2 linked regions of the Macaca mulatta genome follow. The protein of the gene in region 2 interacts with the protein of the main gene of each other region in a biochemical or structural test. Links are inferred from orthologs where the notes say so. Each region holds a gene or a part of one and is shown on either strand. Other genes may lie near its edges. The genes, in order: PGF and FLT1.

What was found.
Region 1: the proteins of FLT1 (region 2) and PGF are reported together in a solved structure, tested with the Homo sapiens proteins (2 studies listed by BioGRID and IntAct, with this or other methods). The link is inferred for Macaca mulatta from reciprocal best matches to the Homo sapiens genes FLT1 and PGF.

What each region holds. Positions count from the first base shown.
Region 1 is NC_133412.1:148,143,861-148,153,203, forward strand, and holds part of PGF (placenta growth factor), read right to left. Parts: coding exon 9,339-9,343; intron 8,119-9,338; coding exon 8,076-8,118; intron 3,751-8,075; coding exon 3,554-3,750; intron 2,787-3,553; coding exon 2,710-2,786; intron 612-2,709; coding exon 582-611; intron 479-581; coding exon 416-478; intron 130-415; exon of another isoform or gene 1-129. UniProt on the Homo sapiens protein: Growth factor active in angiogenesis and endothelial cell growth, stimulating their proliferation and migration. It binds to the receptor FLT1/VEGFR-1. Isoform PlGF-2 binds NRP1/neuropilin-1 and NRP2/neuropilin-2 in a heparin-dependent manner.
Region 2 is NC_133422.1:8,415,651-8,424,993, reverse strand, and holds part of FLT1 (vascular endothelial growth factor receptor 1), read left to right. Parts: intron 1-2,191; coding exon 2,192-2,354; intron 2,355-2,456; coding exon 2,457-2,593; intron 2,594-5,109; coding exon 5,110-5,284; intron 5,285-6,245; coding exon 6,246-6,363; intron 6,364-8,828; coding exon 8,829-8,998; intron 8,999-9,343. UniProt on the Homo sapiens protein: Tyrosine-protein kinase that acts as a cell-surface receptor for VEGFA, VEGFB and PGF, and plays an essential role in the development of embryonic vasculature, the regulation of angiogenesis, cell survival, cell migration, macrophage function, chemotaxis, and cancer cell invasion.

The sequences.
Region 1 (9,343 bases), on a different chromosome or scaffold from region 2:
AGCTGATGACAGACTTCTCATCACTAAAAGGGAAATTCTAGTTTCCCTAGTGCAGGAATCCTGTTTGTTTGCTCACAGATGTACCTGACACACAGGAAGTGCTCAGTAAATGTTTGTAGAGTGACTAAATGTTTGCTGGACCTCCTGCCCCTCATTCTACACAGAGAAAAGCTAGGCTCACGAAGGTGAAATGATTTGTCCAAGGTCAGTGGAAACCTAGGGCTAAGCCGGGACAAAAACCAAGGTCCACTGATGCTTCCTGGGCCCTAGAGTCTTGAGGAGGTGAGGCTCCCTGTCCTGCCCCCAAGACTGGCCTCAGTCCTGCCTCTCCCGCTCCCCAGCCTAACCCTGGCGGCAGGGCGGGGCTCCCCTCGGGCCCAGCCTCCTTGCCATCCCTGGGACCCCGCGCACTCACAGGTGGCAGTCTGTGGGCCTCTGCTTCTCTCTCCTCCTCTTCCCCCTGCCCTTGGGTCTCCTCCTGCAATAAGCCAAGCGTCAGGACAAGGTGGCTGGGGACCCCCATGCTAGGACAGAGGCTGGCAGGCCCGAGAATAGCCCCGAGCCCCAGCCAAACCACTTACCTTTCTGGCTTCATCTTCTCCCGCAGAGGCCTAGGGAAACAGACAGAGAGAGGGGCAGAGGACCGTCAGGAAAGCAATAAGTGGGGCTCCCTGCCGCCCAGATAGGTCCCCTCTGACATCCCAAGTCCTGGTCCTGCAGCTGACACTGAGGCCACTAGGGGGTAGCATGGAGCTGGCAAGGGAGAGGTGGCCAGAGCCCGGGGCTTCGCTCCCACTCCAGGCTCCGGTGACCTCACAGCAAGAGGGACAAATCAACCTCCTGGGGACCCCTGCCACCCGCTTCTGCACTTCTCAGCCTCTTGGCATCAAATGTGGGGTCGTTTCTGTCTGTTCTCTGCTGCTTTTTCTTTCTCACTTTCTTTGTCTGCTTTTTTCCCTTCCTTCCAGGGTGCACTCTGGGAATTTCCTCAGGGACAGGACACGATGGCCGGGCAGTGGACTGGTTGCCTGTCAGGGCACAGCCCCCACTCCACCCGGAACAACATGGGGAGTGAGCGGCGGGGTGGGAGGAAGGGAGGGGGCATCAGTCCTGAGGTCACCAGGCATGTCTGGGCTCTGCCTCCCAGGGCTATGGCTGTTGGCCCAGAAGCCAGAAGAAAGGTGTCCCTGTTGCCTGGCTCCTGGCAGGGGACAGGGCCTCAGTCTTTCCTGGGAACAGTGGGTGGAGACATGGGCCAGCATGGTAGCCGTCAGCTTTGGGGCCAGGACATGCTACCCTCGGCTGATTCCTCCCTTGGGAGCCTCGGCAAGGTACCAGGGCCTCTTGGGACTGTCTGGTTGTACCTCTCCATATTGGGCAAGTGAGAGACACTCTTGGAACCTCAGTCTCTTCATCTGCCTGCCCCAAAAGAGGGGCTGTCAGGGTAAAGGGGATGTAGAAGGTGACTCTGGGTCACCAGCTAGCATTGCACCCAGGAGGGTTCATTACCGAGCTATTATATGGATAAGCTCTGGCTTGGAGGGACGGGTGGAAACAAGTTGAGGCAGGGCCTCCAACACTCCAACAAAAGGGGCAGCGATAGCCCTGCCCAGGAGGCTAGGCTAAGCCTAGGGGCTACTAGAAAAGTGGTCACGGCCATGAGAGGTAGCATGAAGGCTTAGGATTTAGGTCAGGGCTCAGAATCCCTCCTCCCACACTCACTAGCTGTGATAAATCATGAAACTGTATTGAGCCTTGATTTTCTCATCTATAAAACGGGGATGACAATAGGATCTACCTCCCAGGGTTGTTATGAGAGCAGGGACCTTGCCCACCACTGCATCCCATCTAGGACAATGCCCGGCATGCAGTAGGTGCTCAATAAATGTATGTGACTAAATGAGAAACAATCAAGTGCCTCCTGCAGGGCTAGGCACAAAATGGGTACACAACAAGTGGTAGTCTTCCCTCCTCCTGCCCCTGGCTAGGGCTCTGGACTTCTAGTCTGGTGCCTTCATCCATGGCCCAGTGGTACCAGGAGCAACAGCTCAGCCCATTTTTCTCTTCCCTGAACCTCGTTGGCAGTGCCAGGCCTGTTGCTCCTGCTAACCAATGTTCCAAGTGCCCCCGGCACAGGCAGCAAGACTGGTGCTGGTCAGAGGCTCTGCGGATTGGGAGGGGCCGTAGCGGGGTGCTGTATCATCAGGGAAGCCACAGTGTCACCCTTCTTCTGTCCCCTTTCTCCTACCCGAGCTTGTCCTTCTTGCTGCTTCTCAGCCCGGTTTGCCCCCTCCTGTGGGCATGCAGCTTGGCCCAGAACTAAGTTCAGACTTGCAATGTCTTCGCCTCCAGGGACCTCTTTCAGAGGCCCGTGGCAGCTGCCTCCCGTCCCAGAGAAGGGGAACGACACGCACCAAACCCCAGCGAGGCTGGGAGGGACCCACGCTCTCTCTTCCCTTGCAGTATGTCAACAGCTGTACCCCAGCTGCTGGGACCAGCTCCCTCGGCAAAACTGGCTGGTCGGGGGACAAAATGAATGGCAGCCACCCCTGCCTGGTCCTGCCCTCTTGGTCTCCCTCAGCCTGGAAAAAGGTACAGCCGGCGGCGGGGATGGGGCAGCCTTTGCCTCTGCCCTGGGACCCATCTTTGCTGAGGGTGCCAAGAGCACGGGGGCCTTTCCCTGCTACCCGCCCCACCCCGGAGACCTACCGGCACTCGCAACGCACGTGCTGAGAGAACGTCAGCTCCACGTAGGAGGGCCGGTCCCCAGAGCGGATCTTTAGGAGCTGAAGGAAGAAAGAGTTGATGCCTGGATTGGGGAGTGGTCCATGAGTTTCCCGTACTCTTCTCTCTCTCCTTGTAAGGAGAACCCGATTCTGTTTCCTGTAGCCTGTGGACTACAGGCCCTCACTCCACTCTCAGCGTGAGGCAAATGGCTCTCTCAGCTGCGTGGGGACCTGAGGGAGGCCGCTGTCCCTCCTTACCCAGGGGGCACTAGCACAGCAATAGTGCATGAAGGGGGCCATGTTCTGGAGTCAGAGACCCGTGTTCAGATCTTGACTCTTTTACCTGCTGAACAAGTGAAATAACATCTCTGAACCTCGAGTTCCCCATCTGTGAAATGGGAATGACACCAGCCTTGAAGGACTGAATGATGTACCACTTGTGGCACGCCTAGGACAGTGCTTGGCATTACTAAGTGCTCAATAAACCACTGCGTGTGTGACACGTAAGCTGCACTTGCTTGAAAAGGCACCAAATGCTCCTGGTGTCAACAGGGACTTTAATACAAGCAGATTTCTTTCCAGCTTTAACTAGACACCCTGAGTCTTGGGATAGGGCTCAGCATGAGGCTGAGAAAACTGGTGGGGGTGGAGGTGAGTGGGCTCAGAGCCATCGGGGGGCTCAGGAAGGAAGGGCCCTGGGCTGGGGTAGTAGAAGCACCGGCCTGGGAATCAGGCTGCAGTCCTGGGACCTGGGCCTATCTTCTTCCCTCTCCAGGTCCCTTCTAGTGGGCAGATTCGGTGGCCCCCTGGGCCGGGTGTGGACCTACCTGCATGGTGACATTGACCGTCTCCACCGGCACACAGTGCAGGTTCTCATCGCCACAGCAGCCGGTGCAGCGCAGCAGGGAGACACACGATGGGCTGAACATGTGCTCCACCTCGCTGGGGTACTCGGACACGATGTCCACCAGCCTCTCCAGCGCCCGGCAGTAGCTGCGGCCCCACACTTCCTGGAAGGGCACCACTGCGAGGAGGCAAGGGGGCTGGGTCAGGCCAGCAGAGACCTGCCCCTCGAAGCCCTAAACCTGGCTCCCAAGGCCCCGCTGGTCTTCCAGGTTCAGCCCCCAGCCCCTTCCGAGCTCCCTCAACTCTCAATTCCTAATGTGATCCCTCCGAAATGCCTGTGGGCCCCTTAGCTCATCTGCTGGATGGAAATCCCCGTGGAACAGAATCTCTCAGGGCCCCAAGCTTTGCTCTGTCCTCAACTCAGGCACCCACATCTGCCTTGGCTCCCTGGAGCTTTGCGGATTGTAGCCTCCGCAGCTGCCCAGGCCCTCTGGATCTTTCTCAAGCCCGACCGGTGCTTCCTCCACCTCGGAGAACTTGCAGAAAACAGTCATTTCTGGAGTCACGCAGGGAGGGTTGGCCTTCCCTTACTCCTCTGCTCAAACACCTTCCACGGCTCCCTCATTTCCTGCTCCACTCTGTGCCAGCTCCTCTGCCTGGCAACCAAGACCACATCCAGCAATGTGGCCCGACCCTCCTCTCCATTGAGTCCAACCAGCACTCACAGTGAGTCACGGCAGCACCGCATTCACTCGCAGCTCTGGGCTTGTGCACTCTGCAGCCCCTACAGCTGCTCTTCTTCCCCCTCCTCTCATTTCTATCCAAATAAATAAAGCCCACTCGCCATTTTCCAAGGCCTGCCTCCCCACCTCCTCTTTGAAGCCTTCCCCAGCAATTCTGGTGTGCACAGATGAGCCTCCCTTGAGCACGGCCTGGCCCCAAGGGGTTGTCTTATCTCTGTCACTGGTGGCTCTTATCTCCTTTACAACCAACCCGAGGCTCTATGAGGGCAGAGATGGATGTACCCGTAAACACAGGCTAAGTCATTCCTGGTTGATTAGATGATAGTTCACCGAGGATCGTCCGGGACATCCCTGACCCCCATGATGTCCTGGTGATCGTGATGGGATCTTTTGAGGGCTGATCTGGAATCCCTCAAAAGATGCCGCTCTTTTGGGTGAAGGCCTGGAACCAGGCCCCAAATAGAGGCTCACAGAGAGTGGCCAGAGTCAGACACCTGGCTTCCAGTCCCAGCCCCACACTGGCTGTGTGACCTTGGGGAGATCAGTTAACCTTTCTGGGTAGATCAGTTTCCTCAGGTGGGAAAAAAGAAGGTTGGGAATAAATGGTTGCTAAGGTCTTTCCCTTTCTGACCAACCACCTGTGAATCAGTGCCTGCAACCCAGCCCAGCCCGGAGACCATGGACAGAGAAATGCCCCCGGGTCTGGGTCATCCTGCTCTGCATCTGATGGTCATCATCAGCTAGTTGGAAAGAATCAGGAGCTGGCTCACCGGGGCCCTGCAGCCTCTGCCATGGAATAATGGCCTCTCCCAGCAACCCCTCATTTCTTCCAGGCCTCTGCCTAGGAGGCAGAAGGGGCCAAAGTCCATTCCACTGAGCCTATGAGGACATGCGCCTCCTGGTAATCTCAGAAGAAAAATAAACTTCAGTCCTAGCAGAGGCCCTCGGGAAAGGCTGCAAACTGGTGGAAAATACCCAGAGGCGGTGTGTCCATGTGGAGCTGGCTAGGCAGTCATAGAGGCAATAAACAGTGTTATCTGCTTGTTTGCTGCTCCACTCTACCCTGCTCTGCTTAGAGGGCACTAGGGCTGGGCTAGGGGCTGGCGGTGGGGGGAATCCATAGGCCTCCCCTGACTCTACCACTCCATGCCCCTGGTACTGCCCCGGAACCCAGTGGGAAACAAGGCCTCTCTCCCCAAAGGTGCCCACAGTGCAGGGAAGCCTGCCTTTGCAGTCCAGGGTCAGAGAGCACCTCCCTATCACCAGCTCCTTGAGCTGTGTGTTTAGTTTAAAATCTTCATGAGCACTACGTGACTCTGAACGTTTAATCTCCACCTTTATGGAAAACATAAATAACAGCAGAGGAATAACGAACTGCCAAAACAACACGGAAGATTCAGGTTCCTGCCTTGGAACCAGTCATCAGCGAGGGGACAGCAGCAGAGAAGGGGCACCCCAGCCCCCTCCCATCCTGCAAACAGACGCCTACCCAGCTGGGCTGCGGGGCCATGGCCACCTTTGGCAGAACTGGCTGGGCCTGGGCAGCGGCAGAAGGGATTTCCTTTCCTCACCCCACATCCCACCATGCAGACTCCGGGTCCCTGAAACCCTGGAATCTGCCAATTTCCTGGCCCCGTGGCCGAACCATGTTGCGGGAGGGCTGAGAAGGAGGTGGGCTGGAGCCTGGTTTACCTGGCAGCCACCAGGAAAGAGGGCAATTCATCCCTGAAGGCCCCCGTATGGGCGTGTGGGAGAAACAAAAGGGGCTGGGTGAGGGGCCAGGCTGAGGGAGTGTGCAGTGACCACTCCCAGATGTGGGCCATGTCCCTCAGGAAAGAGCTCTGCTCAGCTGTCCCTGAGAGCACTTCCGCTGGCCCCAGACCTGCTCCGGGAGGGGGTGGGGGTGAGAGCAACGGGAAGCTGTGGCCCCCTCAGGCACTGCCAGAGCTGGGTGGTCCCCAGGGCTGCTCCTGAGGCCATGAGTGGGCCCTCAGCTCTCTCGCCAGCCCTGAGAGTGAGCCTCCCACCTGCCTGCCACCACCTGGGATGGGGGAGACTCCAGAAGAGAAATGCTTAATCCTGAGAGCAAGTTTCTGTGGAGGGCACTGGGGACGAGCCACAGGGCTGGGCAGAGCCACTGGCCACCAGCCCAAGCCCACAGGTGTCCTCTCCATGGTCACTGGCAGAGCACACAGACAGCCTGCCACAAGGGACACCCTGCTCATGCCTGATCAGCCACGGAGCTATTGGGAGCACTCGGTTCTGCCAGATCCATGAGGAGTGCCTGAGGCTTGGGGCGACCCCCAGGGCCTCTCTGAGCCTCAGGTCCTGCATCTGTAAAAATGGAGTACATCGCCTTCCTACTTCACAGCCTGTGGTCAAAACAGAATGACAGAAAATGCCTAACACTGTTCCTGTGAATAGTAATAGTAAAAATCAACGCCCATGGCTGGCCATGCTGCCTCTTGCTCTGGTGTTAATAGGTGGGATGACATTTTCAGATTTGGAGAGCTGGAGTGCAAAGCTCATTGTACTTCTCCTGGTCAGATTGCACACTCCCTGATTGATAAGTGTGACAGGAGAGCTGACCTAACGAACCTACACTTCCAGGCCTCCTCACCTCGAATCCTGGGTGATATGTACACCCATTTCTCCTCCCTGGAGTTAGAGAACAGGTCCCTTTTTCAATCTCGGAAAAAGAAGAAACCATAGACATCACATAGCCTAAGGCTCCCATTTTACAGATGAGGAAACTGAGGCTAAGGCATCTTTGGTAGCTGTGGCCTGACCTACACTAAAAGCACCAAAAAGGGGATAGTGTGGAGGTAGGGGATGGGTCCTTCCCCAAATCCCAAGGAGCATAATGTTGTGCTGGTTCCAGAGGCACAGCAAGGGAGGCATCCATGAAGTCAAGGGCAGCTGCCTCCTCTACCTGCTCAGGGGTCTAGGGCCTGAGCCTCAGGTGTCAGAGTATGACCAGGCCCGGGAGAGGCGGGCTGCCAGGCAGGCAAGGCCAGCAGAGGGTGTTCCCAGCATGCAGATGGCTATCACGCGTGTGCGTGTGCATGTTCCTACATGCCCCCTCTCCCATGGCGCAGGGGAAGCCTCAGCGGTGGCGTGTGGCCGCTCTGCACGTCTTGGAGAGGCAGGGAGGGAGGAGCGAGGTAGGGGGCCTGGCATCCTGCACGTATGTCTCTTTGGCAAACGTCTCGTTGCCCTTTGAAGATTCCCTCTTGAGGCAACCAGGGTGGGGAGTAGAGGGGCCAGGGAGGGCACAATTCATGTTCTGTCTGTTTATAATCAATGGAAAGGCATGGTCAGATCCAGGCAGTTCCACTAGGGCTGGGCTGCTGGGGAGGGCCCCTCACCCATTCCTGATCCTCTTGACTGCACACTGCATCCAGCTCCCAGACCCCCATTCTGGCCCCTGGCACTCACTCCCCACTCTGTCCTCCAAGACCCCATCCATACGCTTAAATCATGCTGGGGAAGGGCTCTGAGCCAGCTCAATGAACCCTGGCTATACTGGCCCCAGTCCCACTCTCTGTGTGCTGATGACCCCAGCCCACACCTCTCTAGTCTCTGGGTCACCATGAGGGGATCTCTTAGGCCCTGCCAAAGTCATCAGCTAGGATATCTAGCTCATAGGCTCTCCCCAACTTTTATCAACCTGTACCCACACTTTATGCCACGCCTGGGCTTGGGAGAAAGGAAGAGAGGGGCTTGGGGATCATGCAAACCCCCAGCCTGGCCAGCTTACCTTCCACCTCTGACGAGCCGTTCCCAGGAGACAAGGCCCACTGCTGTGGACAGAAAGGTACAGAGATGAGCCTGGGACACCTTGGGGCTCTGCACTCTTGGGCCAAGTGTGATGGCAGGAAGGTAGGGGCCCCTCTGGATTCCTTCCCACTTGCTGCACAGGCTCTGCCCTGTCTCAGAGCAGCCTGAGCACAACTAAAAACTCACCGGACCCTAGATAGGTTAGGTCCCACCCCTCTCTGGCCTCAGTTTTCCTCATTTGGAAAAGGATGGGAGGCTAGAAGCTCTTGGAGACCCTTGGCCTGCTGCGTCCCAAAGATCTTCCAATCCTGTGGGTCTCCCTTCTACCCAGCCCCCCCAGTTCAACCCTGCCGGGCCCTGTACAGCCCGCCTTGGCTGGGTGCCAGAGCCCAGGGGGAGGTGATCAGCTGGTGGGAGCGGAGGGGTTGGAGCGGGTGGCGCCATGAGCTGGTGCAGCCGGTAACGTTACACCTCTGGCCAGCCCTGCAGCAGGCAGGCGGGTGGCTGGGCTGCTCGGGCTCCTCAGGGACTGCCCAGCCCACTCCTACTCTTGGGCTGGGGCTGGGGACTCCCAGGGCAGTGGGACAACACAGTGGGAAGGGAGCTCATTGGCTTTGTCAGGATTTCACTGCCCAAGCTGGCTCCCAGCCAGACTCACCCGGCTCCTGGGAAAAGGGCCCTGCTCACTTCCCCAGGCCCTGCACTCAGGACCTCCGGCCACCCACCCAGGAGAAAAGGCACAGCGAGACCCCTTGTCTCATCCCCAGCCCACCCAGGAGCCCACGGCTCAGTCCTGAGCCCTGGTGGGGGCAGGGCCCAGCCTTCCCACCATCATCCTCTTCAGCTGGCTCCTCCACCACCCCCACCAGGCCAGGTCAGAGGTCCTGGGGACGCCTGGTTGGCCATGGGGCCTCGACCCTGACCACAAGGCCAGGGACCCGCCTGGGATTAGTGGACAGATGCTTTTAGCAAAGCCACCAGGGCTCCAGAGGCCAGACAGGAAACCTCCCTCCCTCCCTCCCTGTGGCTTCCCTGCCCCCACTAAGACAGCCCCCAGGACCTGGGGGACAGCCAGCCTGAGGTCTCTTCCCAAACGAAAGAAGTCCAGCCTGGCCTTTAGGAAGTATGTGGACATCCTTGGATTTGCTGCTCCCTGGAGCGAGTCTGTGATTTCAGAGTCCCCTGCTTCCAGTGCTGGGATAGGGAGGTCAGGGGAGCCGGGCTAGGTGGGGGTAGCTCTTACCTGGG
Region 2 (9,343 bases):
ATTCTAACCTATGACGTATTTCTGCTGACATGAAGTTAATATCTTTCCCTTTCATTTCTCTTATTGTCCCTTTTCTTCTAATTTTCTGTCCCCTCCCTCTCCTTTTCACATGCCTGCTTTGGCGGAGCCGTGGTCAACTGCACACAGGCCTTGCTGCCCAGGGCTTCCTTTCGAGGCTGAGATCCACCTGCCCATCTGCCTTCATTCTTACACATGCGGTGGTGGCCACAGCTGATGGGCTACAGTCTTTGACTGCTTTAGATCTTCTCAGCTAAATGTAAAGTTACTTTGTCAATGGAATGCTACTAGCAGCCGTAATGGATAGATGAGAGTAAGATAAACACTTTAAAGGAAATTTTAGTGTATTTTTAAGTTGTACTGAGGAAGCCTGTCAGCAAACCTTTCTTTTAGATTCAGCACATACTTGTTTTCACTTATTTGTAAAGTAACATAGATGTCAGTCCCTGACTTAAATTTTTCTGGGTTTTCCTTTGTCTGCACTAAATTAGAAGAGAAGGTTTTTTTTTGTTTTTGTTTTTGTTTTCCCACCGAATACATTCCTAAGTTTACAGGTAGCACCTTGATATAGTGAAACATGAAACGAATCCGTTAATTGCTTTCAGTTCTTCATAAACAGGATGTAATTAATTTCAAACCAAGGAACACCGGTAATACATTCCAATGTAGGCACAGCCCCTAGAAGAGAGGTACTAGTGGCTTCTGGACTAGAAATTTCTGCCATAGGATCACAAATCCAGATCAGCTCCTTCGGCGAGCAATAGAAATAAATGACAACTGGATAGAGAGAGGGACGTCGGGTGTACTTTTTAAAAGGCGATAGGAAAGGTTTCAAGCTTCTTTATGGCTGTTTGGTATTTCCTTTATAATCTGTTGGGGGAAGGTAATTTGATTTTTGTTTTTCCTTTTTCAACTGGGAATAAGGAATAGTGGTAGTTGGGAATCGACTACCACTGAAATTGGACTGGCAACCTGGCATCAGGGGAATTTGGCTGGGCCACTTGATGGAGCAGTGACCCTTTACAAATAAAGTTCAATCCCACGGCAGAGTGTTTATCTGGTAGTCTTTAAACGTTACGTTCTTGATATCAGAAGAAGGCATAAGGAGAAAGTCAAATCATGGATTATTTTCTTCTGTCTGGACTCACTGTGCTTGGGAATACTTCTAAGCATTTGAGAGCACTTCATTCATGGCAGTCTCTGGCCTCCAAGGCTGCCTTCACCATCAGCAGCTCCAGCTTCTGGGAGTTTCCCTTCCAGAGGCAGAGCTGACACCTTCCTTGTGACACAGCAGGATCCTCAGAATGACAATCCCAGTGAGTGCCAAGTTAATGTTATGAATCTTGGAGGACCTGGAATTATTTACAGTCTTTTGAAGACAGCCACTTCTTCAGTAAACCATGCAAAATGGGAGGAAAAGCTATGACTTGTTAAAAGCTCTGGACGATGAAAACAAATGAGAATAATCTGGCAGCCCCAGTAGAAAAAAATGCAATTGGCTTCTCTCTCTTTTTTGAGATGGAGTCTCGTTCTATCGCCCAGGCTGGAGTGCAGTGGTGTGATCTCAGCTCACTGCAACCTCCGCCTCCCGGGTTCAAGCGATTCTCCTGCCTCAGCCTCCCGAGTGGCTGGGATTACAGGCACCTGCCACCATGCCCAGCTAATTTTTGTATTTCTAGTAGAGACAGGGTTTCACCACGTTGGCCAGGCTGGTCTCTGCTGACCTCAGGTGATCCACCCACCTCGGCCTCCCAAAGTACTGGAATTACAGGTGTGAGCCACCACGCCCGGCCTGTTAATTGGTTTGTCTGCTGAGTGTCCGACCAGTTTATTATGAAGATTCCTGGAGGCCAAAGAGTTATGGGCTCCCCCTGAAAGTCTGATATGACAACTAGGTCTATCCTGGGTAGGTGCCATTTGTTGCCAAGGCTGATAGTAAATTATCATAATTACTATAATTAATCATAATGCAAGTGTCTTTTGCTATATACAAAAAAACTCAAGAACCAATGATAACAAACTAGAGTTTTTAACCTAGTTTGTTATAAGCAAACTACAGAGTTTTACTATTTTCATTTTAGATGAAAAATCATGTTTTCACCAACTGCTGGTGAAACAGTATTGCCAACCAGTGCTAATAGGACCTTGTTAATGCGTGCCTCTTCCTTTTCAGTTTCCACTTGACACTTTGATCCCTGATGGAAAACGTGTAATCTGGGACAGTAGAAAGGGCTTCATCATATCAAATGCAACGTACAAAGAAATAGGGCTTCTGACCTGTGAAGCCACAGTCAATGGACATTTGTATAAGACAAACTATCTCACACATCGACAAAGTAAGTGATGCTTCAGAGGCATGAACATAAGCCGAAGTGCTCTTTATTTTTATCTGCGTAATGAAATCTTAATTTAAAAAAATTTCTCTTTTATGCTTGCAGCCAATACAATCATAGATGTCCAAATAAGCACACCACGCCCAGTCAAATTACTTAGAGGCCATACTCTTATCCTCAATTGTACTGCTACCACTCCCTTGAACACGAGAGTTCAAATGACCTGGAGTTACCCTGATGAAGTGAGTGACCCATTTTTCTATTTCTTCTGCAGGACAGTATTTTTAGCAAGTGAAATCCCGCAGGGTTTTTGAGATGGGAAAAATCAGAAAATCCTGATTCCTGTGGCAGTGTTAGTCAATAAAGCAGCTTTGGGTTTGGTTCGAGTGCTTTCTTTGCCTGGCATTTCATGAGTGTGATATGCAGAGATACCGTCTTTTGATGTCTGGGAGTTTTGTTTTGAAGAGCATAGACTGGTATTTCTATTGCATGATTCTAGGTGGAAAGAAAGGGATTGTTTCATTCCTGGAAACTATTCTGTAGGATTTAGAGATGAGAGAGAAATGTATCACTAAATGCCAGGCAGGGACTGCCTTTTGTAACAACAACAACAACTTTCCAGGAGGCTGTCTCTGTCAGCGCATTCATTTAGGATACTGGCAGACAGTCAGGCACCTGATTGGAACATGTTTGGAAAAGATATTACAACCCAGTCATCCAATATTCCATTTGTTAAGTGTCAGGGGAGCAATTCTGTCCTTCAGAAAAATGAGAAGAATGAAGCCTGAGTTGGGTTCCCTTATTCAAATCGAACATCCTTGCAAACAATAATTGTTTTAGAAATGTATACATGGGGAAACTATGATAAACTGTTACGGAAATTTTGACAGTAGTTCTGGCCCCCATTTCTTGTGTATCAGCATGATTTATGCGGCATATCTCAAGTACAATCATTTGTTATGTCGTTCAGATTGCCCAATTACAAAGTCAATTTATGATTAAATTATGTATGAAAGATTAATGCATGAGCCCCAAGCTAGTGTTGTTTTTCATCGACATTTCTTGCCATGGAAATGGAATAACTTAGCAACAAAAACGTGTAACGAGTGCCCTGTAGGGGCACATTAAGGCCTTATCTGTCATCAGCTGTTTTCTAGGAGTGGTATTGTTTCATTTAAATAAAAATGCTATGGCTTGTAGCAATATTTTCTGGGTTTTAATAGAAATCAAATATTCTCAATAAGTGCCAAGAGGGAAGAAACTTCTATCCTGCTAGCATTGCTACTGTAAGTAAGAGTATCTATAATACATCTATTAAATGCTAATAATCTTCTAAAACAGCACTGTCCAACAGAACTTTCTGTGATGGAAATATCCTGTACTTGTGCCACTAGCCACATATGGCAGATGAAATGTGACTAGTGTGACTGAGGAAATGAATTTTTGATTTCATTTAATTTTAATAGCCACACGTGGCTGGTGGCTGGTGGCTGCAGTACTGGGCGAAGCAACTCTAAAACACAGGATGAGTTATTTCCCAAGTCAGAAGCAATACCAGTGTTACTCAACTTGGCAAAGGGAGTAGTACCTGTATAAATAGAGCTGCAGAAACCTCCCTCAGTCTGTTATGTTAAGGGACTAGTTCTCTGACTTTTGATAGTGGCAATTGACTTTTCTCTCTGGTTATTGCTGAGAATGAAGAAAATGGCCTCAAAATGTGTCTGTCTGTTCCAACAGGGAAGTAAATGGACAGGTGGGTAGGAGTGTATTAAACGTGGCACAGAGCAGAACTAAGCTCCCGATCCAAAGATCAGTTCTGGACAGCTCCCAAAGACATTTTTCCATGCTCCTCCCCTCTGCCCCTATGACTATGCGGAAGGACTGAGAGGTGGAAATAACTTATTAGTTATAAAATACAGCACTTAAAAAAAAAAAAGGAGAAGGCAATGTGATCTTGTCTTCTCAAAACAGTGAGGAGGACTGTCATTGTGGCCAGGTCAGATTGTGGAGCCTAAGACTGATTCTTGTTCTTATCTGAGACAAACCTGGGACAGCACCTTTCAAGTCTTGGTTAAACCTGCTGATGGCTTTGCATGTCCCCAGATCCGTTTACTATGATTTAGCCAACATGGGCAAGCATTGCTCAAATAGTGAAATAATGAAATTATAGGATTATTCCACCTTAGTAAGTAGAGACAAGACTCATTATCTTTTCCTTCATATCTAATAGAGACAAAAAAGGAAACTCAGACAGTGATTTGGTGAGAGAAGCACTGTCATTAAGCCAGACACTAAGGCTTATGATTGTCATGTTTGTGTGTGATATGTATGCCTACAGAACAGGTTACTGTGTAGAGAGGTGTGTGTGCCAGAGGAAGGACACTAGATTTATGCTCAAAAGACCTGAGTTCCTGGCCAACTTGGGCCAGGGGGTCCCTTCCTTCAGTTTTTTCATCAGTAAAAGGGCAGTCAGCCTGCCAATCTCACTAGGTTGTTGAGACAAACAATTGAGATGGTATATGTGAAAATGCATTTGAAGAAAATTAAGTGCTAAATAAATCCTACTAGGCTACATATTTGAAGCATCTCTAGACACAGATACAGTTTCCAAACATTGTGCTCTAGGTGGATGTGACGTGATTCTTAGCATAAAACAGAAGCTATTGTCGAAGTTATGATCTAAGAAATGTTAAAATCCTATATAACTTTAAGCATGAACACTCACTCCTTCTACATTTGTTATACGTTTTCTTTCTAGAAAAATAAGAGAGCTTCTGTAAGGCGACGAATTGACCAAAGCAATTCCCATGCCAACATATTCTACAGTGTTCTTACTATTGACAAAGTGCAGAACAAAGACAAAGGACTTTATACTTGTCGTGTAAGGAGTGGACCATCATTCAAATACGTTAACACCTCAGTGCATATATATGGTAAGCATAGTTCAGCGTTGCCAACTCATGCTATGCTTTCTAATCATTGTAGATGTCTGTGTTCTCTAAATAAGTCAGTTTTCTGTTGGCCAAGAGTTACATTATCATGAATGAATACGACTTGGCCATAGTTCCCTCCTCCCCCTGTCAAAAAGCAAACCACATTAAGTACTCTTTAAATTTAATACTTTTGAATTGAACAGAGAGTCCTTTCTTTAGATGTTTATTATAGCTAATAATTCAGTTAGAACCTAATATATTTATGAAATTTTTAGTGTCCTATATAAACAAAACAGAAAAAGATGATGAATTTTATCTTTACTACTTCAGAAAAATTTCTCAGGTACTACCATGAATTAGAGAAATAAAAATATAGTATGCTAAATCATTTAGAATTAAAGCTATTTTATCCCTGCTTTTACTCTCATGGAATCCTAATGTTGTTGCTTAATTTCAGTATGCAAATTCTATAAAGAAAATGCTTAAAAGCCTTATTTCCATTGCTGAAAAGGAAACAGTGTGGAGGACAGAAACTGTGGAACAATTCTATCAGTAGCCTTTTATTTCCTTTTGTCTTTCTCCAGTTGATTTTTGATATCAAATTAGTTGATTTAGGGTGCCCAGAGCAACATTTTCTCACAGCGGCCACGCAGATTTTTAGAAATATCTTCCCACTTCCTTGTTATTGTGATAGAGATATTTAAGGTGTTTTACTTTCTGTTGCTCTGCCACTGTTTTATGTTGCTAGGACGTGATACCATTTGATTTGAAAGGCGTGCACCAGTTACGGTGCTTTTAAAGTATCCTATTCTTGATCAATATTTAGGCTCATTGATAGGCTCTATCATAATTCAGCTCTGTTTATTTACTCATTGATTACACCCTCCCTTCATGAGGCCCTAAGGTTTTGCTTATGGAAATATATTCTTTTCTAATGTATTTATCACTTCTCCTTTCAAAGATAAAGCCTTCATCACTGTGAAACATCGAAAACAGCAGGTGCTCGAAACTGTAGCTGGCAAGCGGTCTTACCGGCTGTCTATGAAAGTGAAGGCGTTTCCCTCGCCGGAAGTTGTATGGTAGGACCATACTTATTTCCATAACAGTGTAAGACGTGCTTTGTAAGTGGGAAGCTGCAAGAGCCTAATGACTCCAATTCCTGACAAAATACCAAGAGACGTTCCTCAGACAGCCCCAGAGAGCTCAGAACTCTGTAGATTCTTGGGTGGTGGAGGTGAGAAGGGCTGGGGGAAAGGAAATAATGTAGCAAGGTAAGCAAGAGATGAGGTTTGTTCGAGTGCTCACTTCAGTCTAGTCAGTCTCTTACTGTGGTTAACCTTCTGCATCTCTAAACCTTCCTATGATGTCAGCATTCTTTGAATGGGATGTGCTGAACAATGACTAGGAAGCATTTTGAATATGTAACATGCTCTATTAACCCTGAAGAAGTGGACTCCTGTAATGAGAATGATGAAAATAATTCTTTTATGTACAGCTGGGTTGAAAGTTCCAGTCTTGTTTTAAAATTAAACAAACATTAATAGAGACAAGACTTACTCATTTGAAGATGAGGACGAATGGGCCTTCTTGAACTAATTAAGGTTTTTTTGGCTAGAAGGATATATATTCAAAACCTCCTTCAGCAGTTTTTTAAAACACTAGTACAACACCTGATGTAAAACAATGTAATCTGTTTATGATCTGCAATCATTTTACAAAATTACTGTTAAATGCCAATACCTTTGGCTCAAATCATTACCTTTTAAACAAAGGGTATGGTGCAAAACTGATTAGCAAAACAATCCATACAATAGGGGTGTGGTGCCATTTTAGAATCCCCCTAACCAGAGCTGATTTGGCTTTCAATGTCGTATGAGGGTAGTGTGTTTGTTTGCAGTTCCCTTAAATACTTAATAGGGAATTAAAGAGAAAATTTTAACTTTGTGCTATGTCGTCATGCCATTGCAGTAGAAAAATGATCTTTTTTGCTTCAGAATATCAAAAACATTTAGTAGTAAATTTTTAGGTTTAATAGTAAATTGAATAGTAATTTAATGACTCCAGGAGGTACATTCACTCCGCCGGGGTCTGAGAGCATGCTCATCTGTTAGTGTTGATTTCTTCAGTAACTAAGTCACAAGGGCATTAAAAAAATTCAGTCCACCGTCAAAAATGCTGACTTGTTGATAGGAAATAATTTAAAGTAATACCAAGACAATATTTGTAATCACAAAGTATAGCATCCTCATTTTAATTACTTTGGATCTGAGACACACTAGTAATGGGAATTTGTTTGTAGGACTTTATAATCATGCATGATAATGAACTAAGTTCCCAATATTAAACCTTTATACAGAACATAAGAAACTCCTAATGGATTAAAACTGCCTATTTAAAGAACTGTGCATTTTAATGAAATCATAGAATTTTAGAGTTATAAGGAACCTTTGAGAAACTCTAGAAAATTTGAGAAAATTGGAGCCCAAGCTGGTTAGTCATATGTGCAGCAGCCTGCAGTGAGTAGAAGAGCCAGGTCAAGCATCCAGGCTCTGACTGTCAGTTCCGTGTGCAATAGAATGATATCAATGCATCGATTCAGTATTTAATATGTTTTTATATTAAAATTTTATGTTAAAATTTTTTTAAGTTTATGCTTTCTGTTTGTTTTGCACCTTAACTGTTCTTCCTCAGAGGAGAAATCTTGATAATCTTGATTTCACTCTAGTTTATGAAAGGGACAACTGGTGTGACCATTTATAAAACTAATAAGAACTCCACCTGAGACCACAATAGGAAAGTCTATTTGTATTTTTATCTGGAGAAGTGATCTAGTTGATCTGACTTACAATGGCCCTTATACTGCTGATGGAGCCTCGTGGAAAACTCTGAAAAACATCTCGGATGGAATCAGAGCCCCTGCCTCTGGGTTAATCCTTAAGTCCCAGTGGCCACCGGTATCCCTGTGGGCACACTAAGCTACTGTTTTTCTATCTTCACTTGCTTTATTTCTTCCTCCTTGCCAGTAAACATGAAGTGTTACCCAGTCTAAAAAGCATATCTGCCTTTACTGAAAAGTTAATGGCTACATTTTAAAAATCAACACTGATGATCAAAGATTTGAAACTGGTCAACTTGAGGCCGGGTGTAGTGGCTCACGCCTGTAATCCCAGCACTTTGGGAGGCTGAGGCGGGTGGATCACAAGGTCAAGAGTTCAAGACCAGCCTGGCCAACATGGTGAAACCCCATCTCTACTAAAAATACAAAAATTAGCTGGGCGTGGTGGCAGATGCCTGCAATCCTAGCTACTCAGGAGGCTGAGGCAGAGAATCGCTTGAACCCTGGAGGCAGAGGCTGCAGTGAGCCGCAATTGCGCCACTGCACTCCAGCCTAGGCGACAGAGTGAGACTCTGTCTCAAAAAAAAAGAAAGAAAGAAAGAAAGAAAGAACTGGTCAAATTGAGCTCAAAAACTTAAATGACAGTGTTACCAAAGTGATATTGCGAGGCCATGTGAAATGACTTACTGATTATGCTTTTAACCACAGGTTAAAAGATGGGTTACCTGCGACCGAGAAATCTGCTCGCTATTTGACTCGGGGCTATTCGTTAATTATCAAGGATGTAACTGAAGAGGATGCAGGGAATTATACAATCTTGCTGAGCATAAAACAGTCAAATGTGTTCAAAAACCTCACTGCCACTCTAATTGTCAATGGTAAGTTTGCTGCTCAGGCTTTCTTCTGGTTCTGGTAGGAAACAAATTAGTGAACACTTATGAATTCAAAAATCAGCATAACAACATCAAAGATAACAAAATTTCAAATAATCATTTGAAAAAACACTTAACGTTAAGTTCCCATCTTCAACAATCTCGTGTTTGTTTGTTGTATTCCATAGGCAGCATGATCTTTTATCATTGTAATCACAATGTACATACCATGGAATCAAATTATTAATATTCTCAAAACACTGCTACTATTTTTAAAAATCTGCATTTTCTTGACAAATAGGACAGTTTACTTCTTTTTTGTTTCTTGTTTGTTTCCCTGACATCCAAACC